Lytechinus pictus: one gene and its partner. The protein of the gene in region 1 interacts with the protein of each later gene in a biochemical or structural test. Links are inferred from orthologs where the notes say so. Each region holds a gene or a part of one and is shown in the gene's direction. Other genes may lie near its edges.

Evidence for each region. The genes of interacting proteins can lie anywhere in the genome.
Region 2: the proteins of wee1-like protein kinase 1-A (region 1) and peptidyl-prolyl cis-trans isomerase NIMA-interacting 1-like form a complex in vitro, tested with the Homo sapiens proteins (2 studies listed by BioGRID, with this or other methods). The link is inferred for Lytechinus pictus from reciprocal best matches to the Homo sapiens genes WEE1 and PIN1.

Annotation. Positions count from the first base shown.
Region 1 is NC_087263.1:89,566-97,585, forward strand, and holds the start of wee1-like protein kinase 1-A, read left to right. Parts: upstream 1-4,980; 5' UTR 4,981-5,249; coding exon 5,250-6,004; intron 6,005-8,020. UniProt on the Homo sapiens protein: Acts as a negative regulator of entry into mitosis (G2 to M transition) by protecting the nucleus from cytoplasmically activated cyclin B1-complexed CDK1 before the onset of mitosis by mediating phosphorylation of CDK1 on 'Tyr-15'.
Region 2 is NC_087259.1:1,859,127-1,866,834, reverse strand, and holds the start of peptidyl-prolyl cis-trans isomerase NIMA-interacting 1-like, read left to right. Parts: upstream 1-4,287; coding exon 4,288-4,396; intron 4,397-6,690; coding exon 6,691-6,873; intron 6,874-7,509; coding exon 7,510-7,708. UniProt on the Homo sapiens protein: Peptidyl-prolyl cis/trans isomerase (PPIase) that binds to and isomerizes specific phosphorylated Ser/Thr-Pro (pSer/Thr-Pro) motifs.

The DNA of each region.
Region 1 (8,020 bases):
CAACCAAACAGGGGTCTGACAATAATCAGTGCCTAAATATATGCCTATATGACAACTTTCAGGGCCAGAGTTCATGTAAAACTCAAGACAATTATCATTGCTTTTAATTCATGGCGGTCATTTTGCCGAAACCGGGTGGTTACATTGCTGGTGGCTGGCAAAAATCAGTGCCACGTACTTCTGTATGCCAAAGTTTGGTGTCATATATAATGTAAAATCCAAGAAAATTATTTTGATATGGTTTTTCATGGCAGCCATCTTGCCGCTGAACTGATGGTCAGAGCACTTGTGGCTGGCAATATTTGAAATCAGCAACCAAAAATAGGTACTCTATTTGCCAAAGTTCAGAGCACATGTAAAATTCAAGAAAATTATTTTTAGTGATTTTCATGGCGGCCATCTTAGATTTCAAGATGGCGGCTGACCTGGTGGTAAGACTATTTGAAATAAGTGCCCTAAACTACACCTACACTGTATATGCTAAATTTAAATACCATAGCTCATACAAAACTAGAGAAAATTATTGCAACGATATTTCATGGTGGCCATCTTGGAATTTAAGATGGCAGCCGTTTTGCCGCTGACCTTAAGGTCAAATTGCTGGGGGCCGGCAATATTTGAAATCAGTGCCTCAAAATACCCCTATAGGCCAAATTTTTGTGTCACATATCATGTAAAACTCAAGAAAATGACATTTAATGATTTTCATGGTGGCCATCTTGGATTTCAAAATGGCGGCCATTTAGACGCCAACCAAATGGTCAAATTGCTGGGGGCCGGCAATATTTGAAAGCAGTGCCTAAAAATACCCCTGTATGCCAAATTTCAGTGTCACACGTCATGTAAAACTCAAGAAAATGACATTAATGAATTTCTCATGGCGGCCATCTTGGATTTCAAAATGGCGGCCGACCCGATGGTCAAATCACTTGGGGCCGGCAATATTTGAAATCAGCACCCCGAATTAAGCCCATATGCCAAATTTCAGTGTCACATATCATGTAAAACTCAAGAAAATGACATTTAGTGATTTTTCATGGCGGCCATCTTGGATTTCAAAATGGCGGCCATTTAGCCACCGACCAAATGGTCAAATTGCTGGGGGCGGCAATATTTGAAATCAGTGCCTAAAAATACCCCAACATACCGAATTTCAGTGTCACACGTCATGTAAAACTCAAGAAAGTGACATTAATAATTTCTCAGGGCGGCCATCTTGGATTTCAAAATGGCGGCCGAACCGATGGTCAAAATACTTGGGGCCGGCAATATTTGAAATCAGCACCCCAAATTAAGCCTATATGCCAAATTTCAATACCGCAGTTCATATAAAACTCGATAAAATGATTGCAATAATATATCATGGCGGCCATCTTGGATTTCAAGATGGCGGCCATTTTGCCGCCGACCAAATGGTCAAATTGCTGATGGGCGGCAATATTTGAAATCAGTGCCTCAAAATACCCCTATATGCCAAATTTCAGTGTCACATGTCATGTAAAACTCAAGAAATTGACATTTAATGATTTATCATGGCGGCCATCTTGGATTTCAAAATGGCGGCCGACCCGATGGTCAAATCGCTTGGGGCCGGCAATTTTTGAAATCAGCGCCCAAAAATACCCCTGTATGCCAAATTTCACACTTTCTGCCAGATTCGAGCATCTTTTTCACATATCTACTGGACTACTAGATCTTTGCTCATGATGCTTGCGCGTTGGCGAGGCTTGCATAGCTCCGACAGGCTTGGCATCATGGTTTCGCCCCGGGCCGCTCGGGCCTTTTGTAGCAGCAACCTCGTTGTACCCCTTCGCAGTTGATTTGCTTTTCATTGTGAGTTTCTCGATCAGGAGACGTTAATTTGAAACAATAAAATCAGTATAATGAAATAGTCATACCTTGCTCCAAAGGGTCCAGCGTAGTCAGCAGTATTAGTAGACTGATGTGGATTATTCCATAAAGTATGGTCCAAAGTGCAAAAGGTTACATTTTGCCAAAATATTGAGCACAACAGTCTAAATTCCTGGAGGAATGAGATAACAAAATTTCAGAATTTATGACAAATGAAATTAACTGCCCAATTTATACATAACAATGTGAAAGCAGAGAAAACAAAATATATTAATCGACAAATAAAACAGACTTTGTAAAAGATTACCGTTTTCCCCTGAACAGAAAAGCAATAATCTCTTTTGCACATGAATGTACAACAACAAAAGATGAATAAAACATTACTTTAAAAGTTAATTAGAGAAGTGTTATTTTGCCTAAACTTTTTTTAAACACACGAGTGCACACCTAGTTACCTCTTTTGATATTAGTCAGAGTAATCAATATTAGTAAAAGAGCGCCATCTCTCGTTGATTTCCTGAGCGCATTAAAGAGGAAGTTCATCAAGGGGGGAGTTTCATGAAAGGACTTGTCGGACGTTTTATCCTTCAAGTCCCATTTTATCCGACAATTACCATAGGAACAGTGCCTATCAGCCAATCAAAATCATGGAAAGATGTCAGATCTGACAACTTGTCGGATGAAAGTATTGATGAAACGCTCCCCTGAAGAAAACTTTGTTGCAAAAATAGCAGAAAAAATATTTAAAAATATTGGTGAAGGTTTGAGGAAAATCCGTTAAAGAGTAAGAAAGTTATTAGAATTCAAAGTTTTGGATTTGTGACGTCATAAACGAGCAGCTGCCCCATGTGTTATGTAATATAAAATGCATGAATTTCAAATTTTGTATGGTTCCTGATGTCTTAATTTTGTTTTCTATTCATGATCGGGTGTAAAATGATTTGTCTATTGATATACAAAAGGTACAGTGAAAACCATTTTCAATTTTCTGAGAAAATGACATTTCATTGATTTTTTACCATTCGCTATGCTCGCATATGATGTCACAAATCAAATAATTGACATTCTAATAACTTTTTAATTATTTGATGAATTTTTCTCAAACCTTCGGCAATATTTTTCATTATTTTTTCTGCTATTTTTACAATAAACTTTTTGTCAGGGTAAACTTCCCCTTTAACGACGAAGGTTGCTGCTTTTGTTGTGAGGCAACAAAATAAAAGATCGAATATACTAAGAAGATCAGGAAAAGGTTAGGGAAATAAAAGACAGAGAACAGGAAAAAAAGTTTGAGGGAGGAAAACCCAAATTAATGAACAAGTAAAAAATTGCATTCAATATGAAAATAAGTTTTATTACAGTCTCGAATACATCAGTATAACAAAGTGAAAACACCGTGGATTATTGGGAGGAAAACAGAGGGGAAAGAAAGAAAAGGGGAAGGGAAGAAGAAAGAGAGGGAGGAAACAATTATTCATAAAAATGTGATTATTAGTGAATGAAAGGGACATTGAAAAGCGCCTGCGTGTCCATGTAGAAAACACGGTGAAGTATCATGCTAGAATGTATACATAGCAGGCAAACAATATTGTTAAGTTTGGTTAACTGCTTCATCGAAGGAGGAAATCATTCAAAAGCAGGGAAATGAAATAGAAACATAATAAAAGCCGCCAATTGATATTTCATTTTTTTTTTCATCTAGGCACTAGCGTACATACGGGGGGGGGAGTCCCGACGAGCCACAACCCATGCAAAGGACGTATCCTGCCCCCCCTGACGAGCTTGAAAGACCTGTTTTGCCCCCCTGACGAGCTTGAAGACCTTTATTGCCCCCGCCCCCCTGTGGAAAATCCTAGGTACGCCACTGCATTTAGGCATATAAGTATTGGCAAAAAAAAACACCAAAACATCAGCACAATTACTTAATCATGTTAGGAAGAAATCATTTTGATTAAGTTTAATTATTAGATAGGACAGGGAACTAATCATGTAATGGGAATGGACAATGGCCGAATTAGGCCTCAAGGTAATTCACAAAGATAATTAATTTTAAGCCGAAAATGTTTCTTCACATATACCAGGTTTTCTTATAATTATTATCACTGGCGTACCCAGGGGGGCACAGCCGACCCGGGGGAGTCCCCCGTAGATAGGTGAAAGTTTGTACTGGACAAACAGTAAGAAATATATGAATTTCTATCGATTTTAAAATATCTGTAATTATTATGAAACTTCAAGTTAAATTTGGGTCACATTTGTGATGATGAGAGGCAAGGACTTCTTTTCCATTCCAAAACATAAAATGGCTGTTATGTCAATTTCTTCAAATTAGGCCTATATTCGTGAGTACACACATAAATACACAAAAAAAAACATGTGCTACCTACTAAAACCGTGTTCCATTGGAATAGGCACAGTGTCCTTCTTGGAGAATGACACGAATCCATGAAAATAATGTAGGATGGGGGGGTCGGGTGTCCGGACACTTTATATTATTGAGGCCTTCTTTTTTGTCTTTGGATTACACACAAAATATAAATTCAACAATTGTAATCATTTTCTTGTTTGTTCTTTATAATATTTCTTAACATTTTGTACTAAAAATTGATAAAATTCGCTTGTAATTTTTTCCAAATGACTTTCTAAAATTGATCGTCCGGACACACAACCTGTCCGGACCCACAACAACTGGGTATACATTATACGGTCCATGTGAAAGTTATCCCTACCACTTGTCATAATGTCATATACCGTATATTAAAATACTATCAATAAAAAGTTATAAAAGAATAATTATTAAAAAAATTACATGTCGGCCTATACGAGGGGTTTCCTTTTACTCTTATTTGTCCTTTAATTCGAGCCCACCCTCAAACATAAACCTGTAATTACAAGTAACCTTCATAATCCCTTTTATATTTCTCGTATTATCAGGGTTTTTCTTATATATATATATATTCTTCGTCATTCGGTCTATACGTGGCGTGGCCTGTATGACTCATACTATTTACCATCTTTTTTAAGACGCGACGGGACTCAAGAATGACTGGAATACGTAGCCAATACCGGCCATAAACAAGATCACAATTGATATAAGCTATTTCGTGATTGGCTGGTGTTTTATCACGTGATTCCTTCCAAAACAGGCGCGCCATTTTGACGTGCTTTTTTCCGCATGTGCTGATATCTCGTTGTGTTGTGTGTGTCGATATCGCGAGTACCGGTACGAGTAGTACGGTATATGCAAGCAAGCGCAAGCGAAGTATACTATACTGTATACGACGCGCGCATGTTGTTGTTATTTATGATTTGTTTGCCACACGCCATCACCATTGCATCGATTGAGACGGGAATTGACAACTAATTCATCAAAATCTAACGGTTTTTCTCGACGGAAGATGTCGTTAGCTACACCAATGAATTCCTTATTTCATCAAGGTGTTCACGGATCGCCTACACAACGCCTAGATTTTGGCGATGCTCTCGGTTCCGAAGGCGAAAGTGACGCTAGTTTTGCAGCTTATTCTGATTTCAACGATTTGCAAGAAGAGAGGATCGACCACAGTCCCATTTCAAGTTCATTTTCTGATGATCGTGATGACTCATTAAATCTCACGGCAGAATGGGATCCCGCCTTGGCAACTCCAAAAAGTAGCCCATCAAAACGGCCCGTGCAACGAAGACCAGTTTCAAGACTTCATGGTGGCGAAAATTCAGTTGCATCTCCCCTTTTTCGAAGGCCAAGCGACTCAAGTTGCAGTCCCTCTCCAATGTTAATATGCGGAAGTAGCCCCGCCTCCTCCGCAGGGGGAAGCGACTCTGTCGGTTCTCCACCCCCACACAAGCGGCTTCGTAACTTGAGACTTTTCGATTCACCACACACGCCCAAATCATTAATTCAAAAGGCAAATGCGAGTGCCAGACGAAATAAACTTCTTGCCAGTAGACTCTTCAGTGAGAAACCCGCTGCTGTACGTGAACATGGTGATGATGGTACTCTTGCAAGGCCGCACACGGCTCCAAACATGAGAAGTATGCAGAGAAGGAGCACAAGAATTTCTAAGACGAGACAGCAGAATGTAGCAAATGTCAACCCTTTCACGCCATCAGCTATGTTGCAAAACGCAACCAAGAAAAGGCTTCGACAGGAAAGGTAAATTTTAGGGATTCTAAATGTCTTACTTGGTTTAACCTGAAGTATTTTTTTCTTTTATTTTCATCTTGTCTCTTTAGTTTAGTTTAGTCCTGATTCATGTTTTATTTGGTTCCCCATTATTAAAATGAATCATGGACTGGTTGTTGATTCATCACGTCATATTTATTGACCATTTTTTGCCATTTATTCTGAGTCGCAGTCCTAGGGAATTTTTAATTTTCGGGAGATATAGTATAAGCCTATATTACTACAGTCCTGATAGTAACTGAATGAATCTACCAACAACAACATTACCTGAATCTCCAACATGTCATTGGCAAGCTATTATTATTTAACATTTGTTACGAATGAGGATTTTTCAGGGCTCTTTTGAGCATTCGGGGGTCAACTCAATTAGGGCCTACTCAAAACCCCTGACTTAGCCCCTGTGTACTTTTTCTCTTCACAGCCTACCAATCTGTGACTAGTAGACATACATGTATGGTAGTGGATGGTATTACTGAACACTTCATGAATTCAATCATATCAAAAACATTATTCTCATAAAATTCACCAAACTTTAACCATAAATACACAATTACCTACAAAATTTAAATATGTAAAAAAAATTGACGAAATCGTTTTTCCTTTTGACGATATTAGCTTCCAATCGGACCCCTCTCCGCATGCGAAATATTTTGGTCACTTGAAAAAGGTATCGTATTACCGAACGTGTGTTTTCTATGGGAAAAGTTGAGAAAACAACAAAATCACTGATGAGCTATTTTGACCATGATATTTTATTATTTTTAGAATATTAAGACTTTGAAAATGTGTTTTTGACCATTTTTCATCATCTTTCTATTCAAGTTCCCTTTGGAAGGATGTTGCAAAGAATTGAGCGTATGAAATTATTTTCTGACGCATACGATGCGCGCGTTCGGTAATACAAGGCCGGTCGGTAATACGATCACTCACTATACATGTAGGCTGAAAAATCTATTTTTCAAAATTTTATGGAGGGAGGGGGATGCCCCAAAGGCAGCCACACAAAGTGTCCGAGGAGGATTCCCTGACCAAAATAGACTGATTATTCGGTCAAGCTGCATAACCTCGCCTTGTATCACTTGTTCACTGCTACCATCCTGCCTGTGGAGAATCTACAGGTAGGGCTATGGCATGCCACTGCTGTATTGAGCTCACACTTTAAAAATCAGTAAAATATCACTTTTGGGACCAAAGTTATTGATTTCCATACAGTCGCAACTCAATTTTCATAAGTAATTTAGAATAATTTTTGTATTGACCAAAAGCACTCAAAAGCTTGAATTTTGGGCATATTTTTGTGTACGCCCTCTACTGGTGGAAAGTAATTTGGCAAGAAAATTTTCATATTTCAAGCTCTATCCTTAATAAAGAAAAAATAATTTAAATAATCAAATTTACTTAAGAGCCAAGTTATATAATGAAAAGCTGTAATGGAAACTGACAGTGTAAAAAAAATAAAGCATTTGTCAAAAAGAAAAAGAGAAAATAATCCAAACATTGTCAACCTTATTTTGCCACACATAGAGATGTAACTGAGAACAAGGTTATATCATAACCTTGTTGTTCATTGAATGAGTGCCTTGTATAGAGTAGGGGATGAGTGATAGAAGCATTTGATCTGATCTTTAATTTAAGAGTTACAATTAGACTTTGACCTTGAATGAGCAACAGTTGGCCATTCAGTGCATTCATTGTTTACACAGTTCATCATATAGCAATAATTGCAATCCAAATTTCAAATGCAGGGAAATCTAAATCCAGGCCTGCCACATCTCAAAGTCCTTAACCTTAAAAAAAGGGTGACGATGATTCAGAAACATACTTGCACAGTTTAAATCTAGATCAGATAAGATCGAGGTCCCTGAATGATTGTCCTTGTAAAGGTCATACAATGTTGGACATGTAGCAGACTGGTTCAGACAGGAGCATTCAGGTGATTTGTTTGCAAAACCTGAAGCTGACGGTTGAATTTTAAAAGCTACTGAG
Region 2 (7,708 bases), on another chromosome or scaffold:
CCTTCAGTCTGTTCTTAGTAAGTGCTTGAAGTACAAGTTCTAATTGTCGCTTATGGGTATTCTTGTCAGGGCTAAACAAAATGATATCATCATGATGGCTATGCAAAAATTCCTAGAATTTGGTATTGTACTCAAAATATCATCTATCTTAGCTTGAAATATTCCTGGTGATACATTCAATCCTTGAGCTAGTCTCTTGTAATAGTAGTGTTTACAATCAGGGTACTAATGGATAATTCGTTTTTCATTCCCGATTATTGCAGAGCAAAAACGGAAATCAACCTCATGGTTCGGTCTTTGAAAACACAAAAACGAAATCACAACGAGAAAAACCTGTTGTGATTTCGTTTTTGGAGATCAAAAACAGAAGAATGAAATCAGAAATACTTTTGGGCTCTTTCTGATTTCTCATTCTATACTTGTGTTTGTTACATATCAAAAACAAAATCAGCACACGCTTTCCGCTCCGTGATTCTGTTTGGAAAAACGCAGACAGCGAAAACGAAATCGGAAACTCACTTTCCACTTCCTGCTCTGTGAAGGTCCGAAAACGCTGGAAAAAAGCCATGTTAACGTGAATTTTTGTTGCACGTGGTCGTAACATGCATGCGCTGTACTGCGTGCACGTGTGTATAACGATCGGAAACGTAGAGAGCGCTCTTTAATATACATGAAAGAAAGGACAACTCGGCTCAGAGACGAGCGGAAACCGTATTTCGATACGGCTGCTAGCTGTGCAAAAAACAAAATCACAGAGCAGGAAGTGGAAAGCGAGTTTCCGATTTCTTTTTCGCTGTCTGCGTTTTTCCAAACAGAATCACGGAGCGGAAAGCGTGTTCTGATTTTGTTTTTTATATATAACAAACACAAGTATAGAATGAGAAATCAGAAAGAGCCCAAAAGTATTTCTGATTTCATTCTTCTGTTTTGATCTCCAAAAACGAAATCACAACAGGTTTTTCTCGTCGTGATTTCGTTTTTTGTGTTTTCAAAGACCGAACCATGAGGTTGATTTCCGTTTTCGCTCTGCGATGATCGGGAATGAAAAACGAATTATCCATTAGTACCCTGATTGTATTCCCTGTAATGTAATGTCGCAACCATTTAGAACCATCTCTGATTGGATAGAGAGGATATGACGAATCACATGTTCAGCCAATCATCATCTTACGTCGCTGTACTAACACCAGATTACAGAGCTCGTGATGCGCATTGCAGTGGTTCACCATTTCGACGTTTGGCTTCATCGAGTGAACATTGCCCGGAACATTGTGTAGGTGTCCAGTCAATAATCATTGATTAACATCATAATCAGATAGATCATAGAGAAATATTTCTGGTTTTGTTGTGAAATAAAGATACAGCTATGGAGAGCCTGTAATAATCATCTTCGGAGCACCAGTGCGGAAGAGTTATGTTCAATCATACATCTTTCTTTTCACCCTTCAAAAATATACGAAAAAAGACGTGATTTGTGGGAGTTTCGTTTGATCGCAACGCTTTCTGCGATCGTTCCATACTTTCATCTTTGTGATGATCAGATGTGCAATGATTCCTCAACCACATTGATTTACAGTGTGGGAACTTCCGGGGGAACTTATTCGATGTCACTTTGAAACATGCGGTTAGTTTTCCTGCTTTAGAATTTAGATTTAAAAATATATTTCTGTATATTCTTGGTTGCGTTTGAATAATCATGGACAAGTTAAGGTGGATGGAATGTTGGTACGTCTCTACATGATGGATTGATGATCAACTCAATTTCGAACATGTGAGTAGAAACTGCTTGTGTATAATTTTGATTAAAACTTATGATCTCTTCACAACATAAAATAGCGGTAGAATGTCATAGATTTCTGCTATGTACACACAGTAAATCGCGTGTTGTATTTTATTTTCTATTGTTTCTTGTGAGCGAAGTTATTATTTGCTTTACTGTTTATGTTTTTTTACCTTTTAATTATTGCACTTGTTGTAGTGCCTAGCACTATTAGCCATAGAACTAGATAAATAATCTGAAAATTGTAATTATACAATCATCATGAGAAGGACCTATTATTATACACTACTCAAAAAAAGTTAAGGACCACTTTTTAAAACGTACATAAAGATTTTATACAAGGTGTTTTATTTCTGGAAATACCTCAGTACAACTGTCCTAAATGCCCTTAAACACGCTGTAATCAATTTCACGCATGGGTGGTTTCAGTTGTTGCACAATGTCTCTCGCATCACTGCACATCCTGAAAAGTGGGCCCCGAGGGGTATCAGCTACCGACATGAAGTGGTAAAAACGAATGTCTGAGTGTCTTTCAGGCAGTTCAGTAACGAGTGTGACCACCTCCTGCAGCAATAACGGCTTCACAGCGCTGTCTCATGGAGCTGATGAGGCGATTGATGTCTCTGACGTCCAGTGCATCCCATGCAGCCTCCAGAGCCACACCCAGCTGCTGCAGTCCAAGTGGATGGGCTTCGAGCTGCTCGAGACTCCTCCCCATCATGTCCCAGACGTGCTCTATCGGGTTTAAGTCCGGGGACCTCGCTGGCCACTCCATACGCTCAATCCCCTGGCCCTCAAGGAACTCGGTCACCACCCTAGCTCGGTGGGCACGGGCATTGTCATCCATGAAAATGATGTTTTGTCCCACATTTTCTGCAAATGGCACCACTATAGGTTCAAGGACCTCATCCCTGTACCTCACTCCTGTCATTGCTCCCCCTGGGACCACGTAGAGACGAGTACGGTTGGCGTAGGTGATGCCTCCCCACACCATGACGCTGCCTCCCCCATAACGGTCATGTTCTGCAATACAGGGGTCTGCAAATCTCTCTCCTGGTCGCCTCCAGACTCTCGAACGTCCATCATTGTGGTCAAGGGAAAATCTGCTCTCATCTGTGAACAGAACTCTACGCCATTGCTGTCTGGTCCATCTGACATGCTCCCGGGCCCAGTTGAGACGAATTCTTCTGTGAGCAGGGGTGAGTGGGACACACTGAGCTGGCCGTCTGGCATGCATATTGGCTCTGTGAAGTCGGTTACGGATTGTTTGAGTGGAAACAATCACTCCAGTTGCTGCAGCGAAGTCATTGTTGAGGCGGCGTGTACTGTGAAAGCGGTTGCGGAGGCTGAGATTCGTCAAGTAGCGATCATCTCTAGGGGTTGTCGAAACTGGTCGGCCACTGCGGGGTCTCTCGGAGTATAGCCCTGTCTCTCGGTGTCTTTGATTTGCTCTGCTAAGTATCTATGTATTCAAGTTTTCCTGTAGGCATAAGCCCGTATCCGCGTATCAAAGTTTCTAATTGTATCCACGTATCCAACTATCCAAAAGTATCCACGTATCCGCGAATCCAAGTATCCAAGTATCCAATAGTATCCATGTATCCAAGTATCCATGTATCCAAGTATCCAAGTATCCAATAGTATCCAAGAATCCACGTATCCGCGTATCTATGTATCCAAGTATGCAATAGTATCCAAGTATCCACGTATCCGCGTATCCATGTATCCAAGTATCCAAGTATGCAATAGTATCCAAGTATCCGCGTATCCATGTATCCAAGTATCCAATAGTATCCAAGTATCCAAGTATCCAATAGTATCCATGTATCCAAGTATCCATGTATCCAAGCATCCAAGTATCCAATAGTATCCAAGTATCCACGTATCCACGTAATTCGCGTATCCATGTATCCAAGTATCCAAGTATGCAATAGTATCCAAGTATCCACGTATCCGCGTATCCATGTATCCAAGTATCCAATAGTATCCAAGTATCCAATAGTATCCGAGTATCCCCGTATCCATGTTTCTAAGTATCCATATCCAAACATGTATGTAATATAATAGTATCCAAGTATCTTTGTATACATGTATCCATGTATACATATCAACGACTATCATTCCTTAAATAACATTTAAACATAATCAACATAAATATATACCAATGCACATATCCTCGATCACGCGCCCCCTCTTTCATTCCTTCATATATCTTCCCTTAAAAACTCCTCTGATTATCATATCACCTGACATTACTTCACCCCTCCTTCTACATCAACCATATTGGACAAGTCGTGTACCCCCCTACGGGACCATCCCCCTCCCCCTCTCATCCTTTATCCATTTTCCGATCTATCTCCTGCTTGACGCCGGGGCCTCTTCATTAGCTCACGAACGTAGAGGGCGACAAAACTACTATCACCAAGCCTCTGGCTTACTGGCTATCGCACACCGGCAGCAGCAAAGCAGCGATTAGGAGGTAAATTGGTCTCATAATCGATTATAACATGACATTGGATTCTAAAGTTACTCCCTCGTTGTGTACAAAGTCAATGCCAAAATGGGAATGGAAAGATGTCACCACCGCTGACGAAATAAACGGCAGTGAATGGACTGGTGACATAAACCACGATAATGCCAGAGAGTTTAACTTGCCAGTCTTTCCCCCCGAACCAAACGTTGATCTTCCTTCCGTTGTTGCTGTAATTAGGTGGTCTGTCCATGCTGTCTCTGACGGATCACCTCTTAATTTCGTCAATTTTCTTTATTTATTTTTCGCACCTATGTTTGTCGCCAACTTTTTTCCGAATCGGCTATATCAATTTTGCTGAATTTTTCGTCATATATAATGTCTATCATAGAGACGCTCTACTAAGCTTTTCAAGGTCATCTGGTCATGATGACGTCATCTACGTGCCATTTTGTAAATTCTTAATTTGATAATATGTACATAACGGACAATCAATAGTCAATCATATTTACGTCATCAAATAAACTTTAGGTCGAAGGTCATCAGTCAATGCCATCAAAGGTCATGACGCGCGCGTCAAAATTGAAAAATGCTCAAAATGGCCTATAATTAATTTTGGGTACGTTTCATTAATTTTTGGGTACTATTCTGTGTATTTTGAGGGAAAATACGTTTTCCGTTTGAAATGCCACTTTCCGTTTCAAAAGGCCCTTTCCGTGAATTCCGTCCGTTTTCCGCGATCGCGGAAAATCACTGTCCCTACATGTGCACATATATGTGCGCGCGCAAATTTTTAAGCATTTCAAATTTGCGCGCGCGCATATATGTGCACACAGGGCTAGTGGCTGAAAATAGGCATTTTTAAGTTTTCATGCTGACCTAGACTGTTTGAGCCTCTGTGAGGAGCCATGGAAACATGTCACATTGATAGATAATCAACTTGGCTGCTAGAAAATGTGAAGATGTTGCTACATTTGTTACTACATTGTTCACTCAAAATATAGAATGAAAATTTGAGGCAAATTCACCTATTGACTTAAAATTCTTTTTACACATGTCTACAGCACAAATCTGGTGCCGTTGCCCACCCTACCCCTGGCATAATATCTATTGAGTCTAAGTTCAATAATAATTCCTGTAAATGCTTAATTATTCAGTATAAAACTATTCACTTTCAAGTAATATACCGGGTATTTCATGATTAAACATTTATAGGCAAATTGAACTATGCAAACAAATTATGAATACAAAAGTCTTTGGTTAAGACTATCCAGTAATACTCACTTGAAGTCGCTTGTTTGTTTCAGTAGATTCTTAGATAAGTAAATATTTATAAAAAAAACATAAAATACATATCAATAAATCTCATATGCTATTCTAATTAATGACTTTGCTCTTGGTGTACAAAAGTGTCATATCAAGATCAGTCTTTAACACTATCTACTTGTATCAAGAAAATCAAGTTATTAAATATTCATCTTTTAGTAATTTATACATGAAATCATAAAATCAAAATGGCAGATTTTCCCGTAAATAGGCAAAATACGGAAAAGGAATGGGTAACTTCGTCCGTCTGACATAGGGCTGCATAAATTCCAAAATATGATAATATTCTCAATTTTAATGTAGCCCACAGGACAAGAAATGTCAAATCATATTCTCAATTCTCTGAAGTCCTTGTAAACGCAATAACTCCAGTTTATACACTCCAGTTTATATCATACACACCAAATTATAGGAGCCTGGGTTAGTCCCAGGCTCCTATAATTTGGTGTGTATGATACTAGGAAGCCTTTTTAATTTGAAGCCAGAAAGCCATTTGATTTTGAGGTCCAAAGGTCAAGGTCACTGTGACATGTTTTCATCTTATCCTTCTGAAGTCCTTGTTTACGCGATAACTTTAGTTGAACTTAACCTAGGCTCATATAATTTGGTGTGTATGATACTAGCATAGATCCTAGCAATTCTATTGATTTTGAGGTCAGAAGGTCAAAGGTCGCCACCTACTTTTCTTGCTTGACCAATAACTTCATTTTCTGCATTACAGACGGGCGTATTATGTGCTTGCCTTAGCGAAACTCTTTTTAGTGTAATCCAAAGACAGTCAAAGTGTATAAACTGGTGATTAGACAAAGTTATGATTGGACCAAATGGTTGTTAGACGAAATTTTGATGGACTAAATGAAGGTAGATGGTGTTGGCAGTAGACGAATTGGCACTTTCCCTCTAGGGCAATATGGTTTTGTAAAATTAATATATAAAACAGCTCAGATGTCTGATACTAGTCATAATGTAGAGCAATGAAAAAGTTAATGATATGCTATGTGCATACTTTATGCATATCAGATCACTTATAACGCAAGAGGTGACAAATTTTACAATGAGGACACAATAGACATGAAATTTGCATTCTTTTTTTTTTCTAACCTCAAACATACAGGTAAACCATACTATTTTAAAGCTGCTACCAAGGAAAGTCAATGGGAGAAACCAGCTGGTCCTCCAGCCAATAAAGTTCGCTGCTCCCATCTCCTAGTCAAACATAGAGATTCTAGAAGACCTGCATCCTGGAGGGATGACAGGATCACTCGCTCAAAGGATGAAGCTCTTCAAATAATAAAAGGCATGTATCCATTCGTTTATCTTTTGGCAGTCTCTCCTCCATGAAATTCCTTTACAACGTTTTATGATTTGGAACCTTAATGAAATTAAATCTATGAACGTAGGATTAGCATGTTATATTTTCTTGTCCAAAGTCACTAATTATGACATTTTCCGTAAACGGAGGCCACCATATTCATCACCACAAAGGGTATATTGCAATCTTGTGTGTACAAGTCATACCATTGGCCTTACAAAGATTGCTTGTGTCAAACATAGATTGAAGGTGCCAATCTTTGTAAGAGACAGAATAGAAATCAGAAAAGATATTTCATAGAGAAATAAGAAATTTATTTCCCATTAGATTGATAACACTGATAAAAAAAGGTTTGAATTTGAATTCATTATCATGAGAAACATGAAATGAATAGAATGCCTAATGATTGTGTAGAACTTGTAAACTAGTTTCATCAGAATGGGAAAACTTTGATCACCAACTTGTATTTTGGAAGACCGAAGTCCATTGACTTTGGTCTTCCAAAATACAAGTTGTTGGCTCAGGCTCTGAATTTGATTATCATGATACATTCTATTTTTTAGGTACATTAATGCATAAAATTTAAATGTACTCTACTGCATTGATAATTCATTTTTTCAGGATACAGAGCCAGGATAGTTTCGGGACAAGTTGATTTTGGGGATCTGGCGAGCACAGAAAGTGATTGTAACTCTGCTAAAAACAAGGGTGATCTAGGAATCTTTGGCCGAAACCAGATGCAGAAGCCTTTTGAAGATGTCTCTTTCAGACTTGAGGTTGGCGAAATGAGTGACCCAGTTTTCACAGAATCTGGGATCCA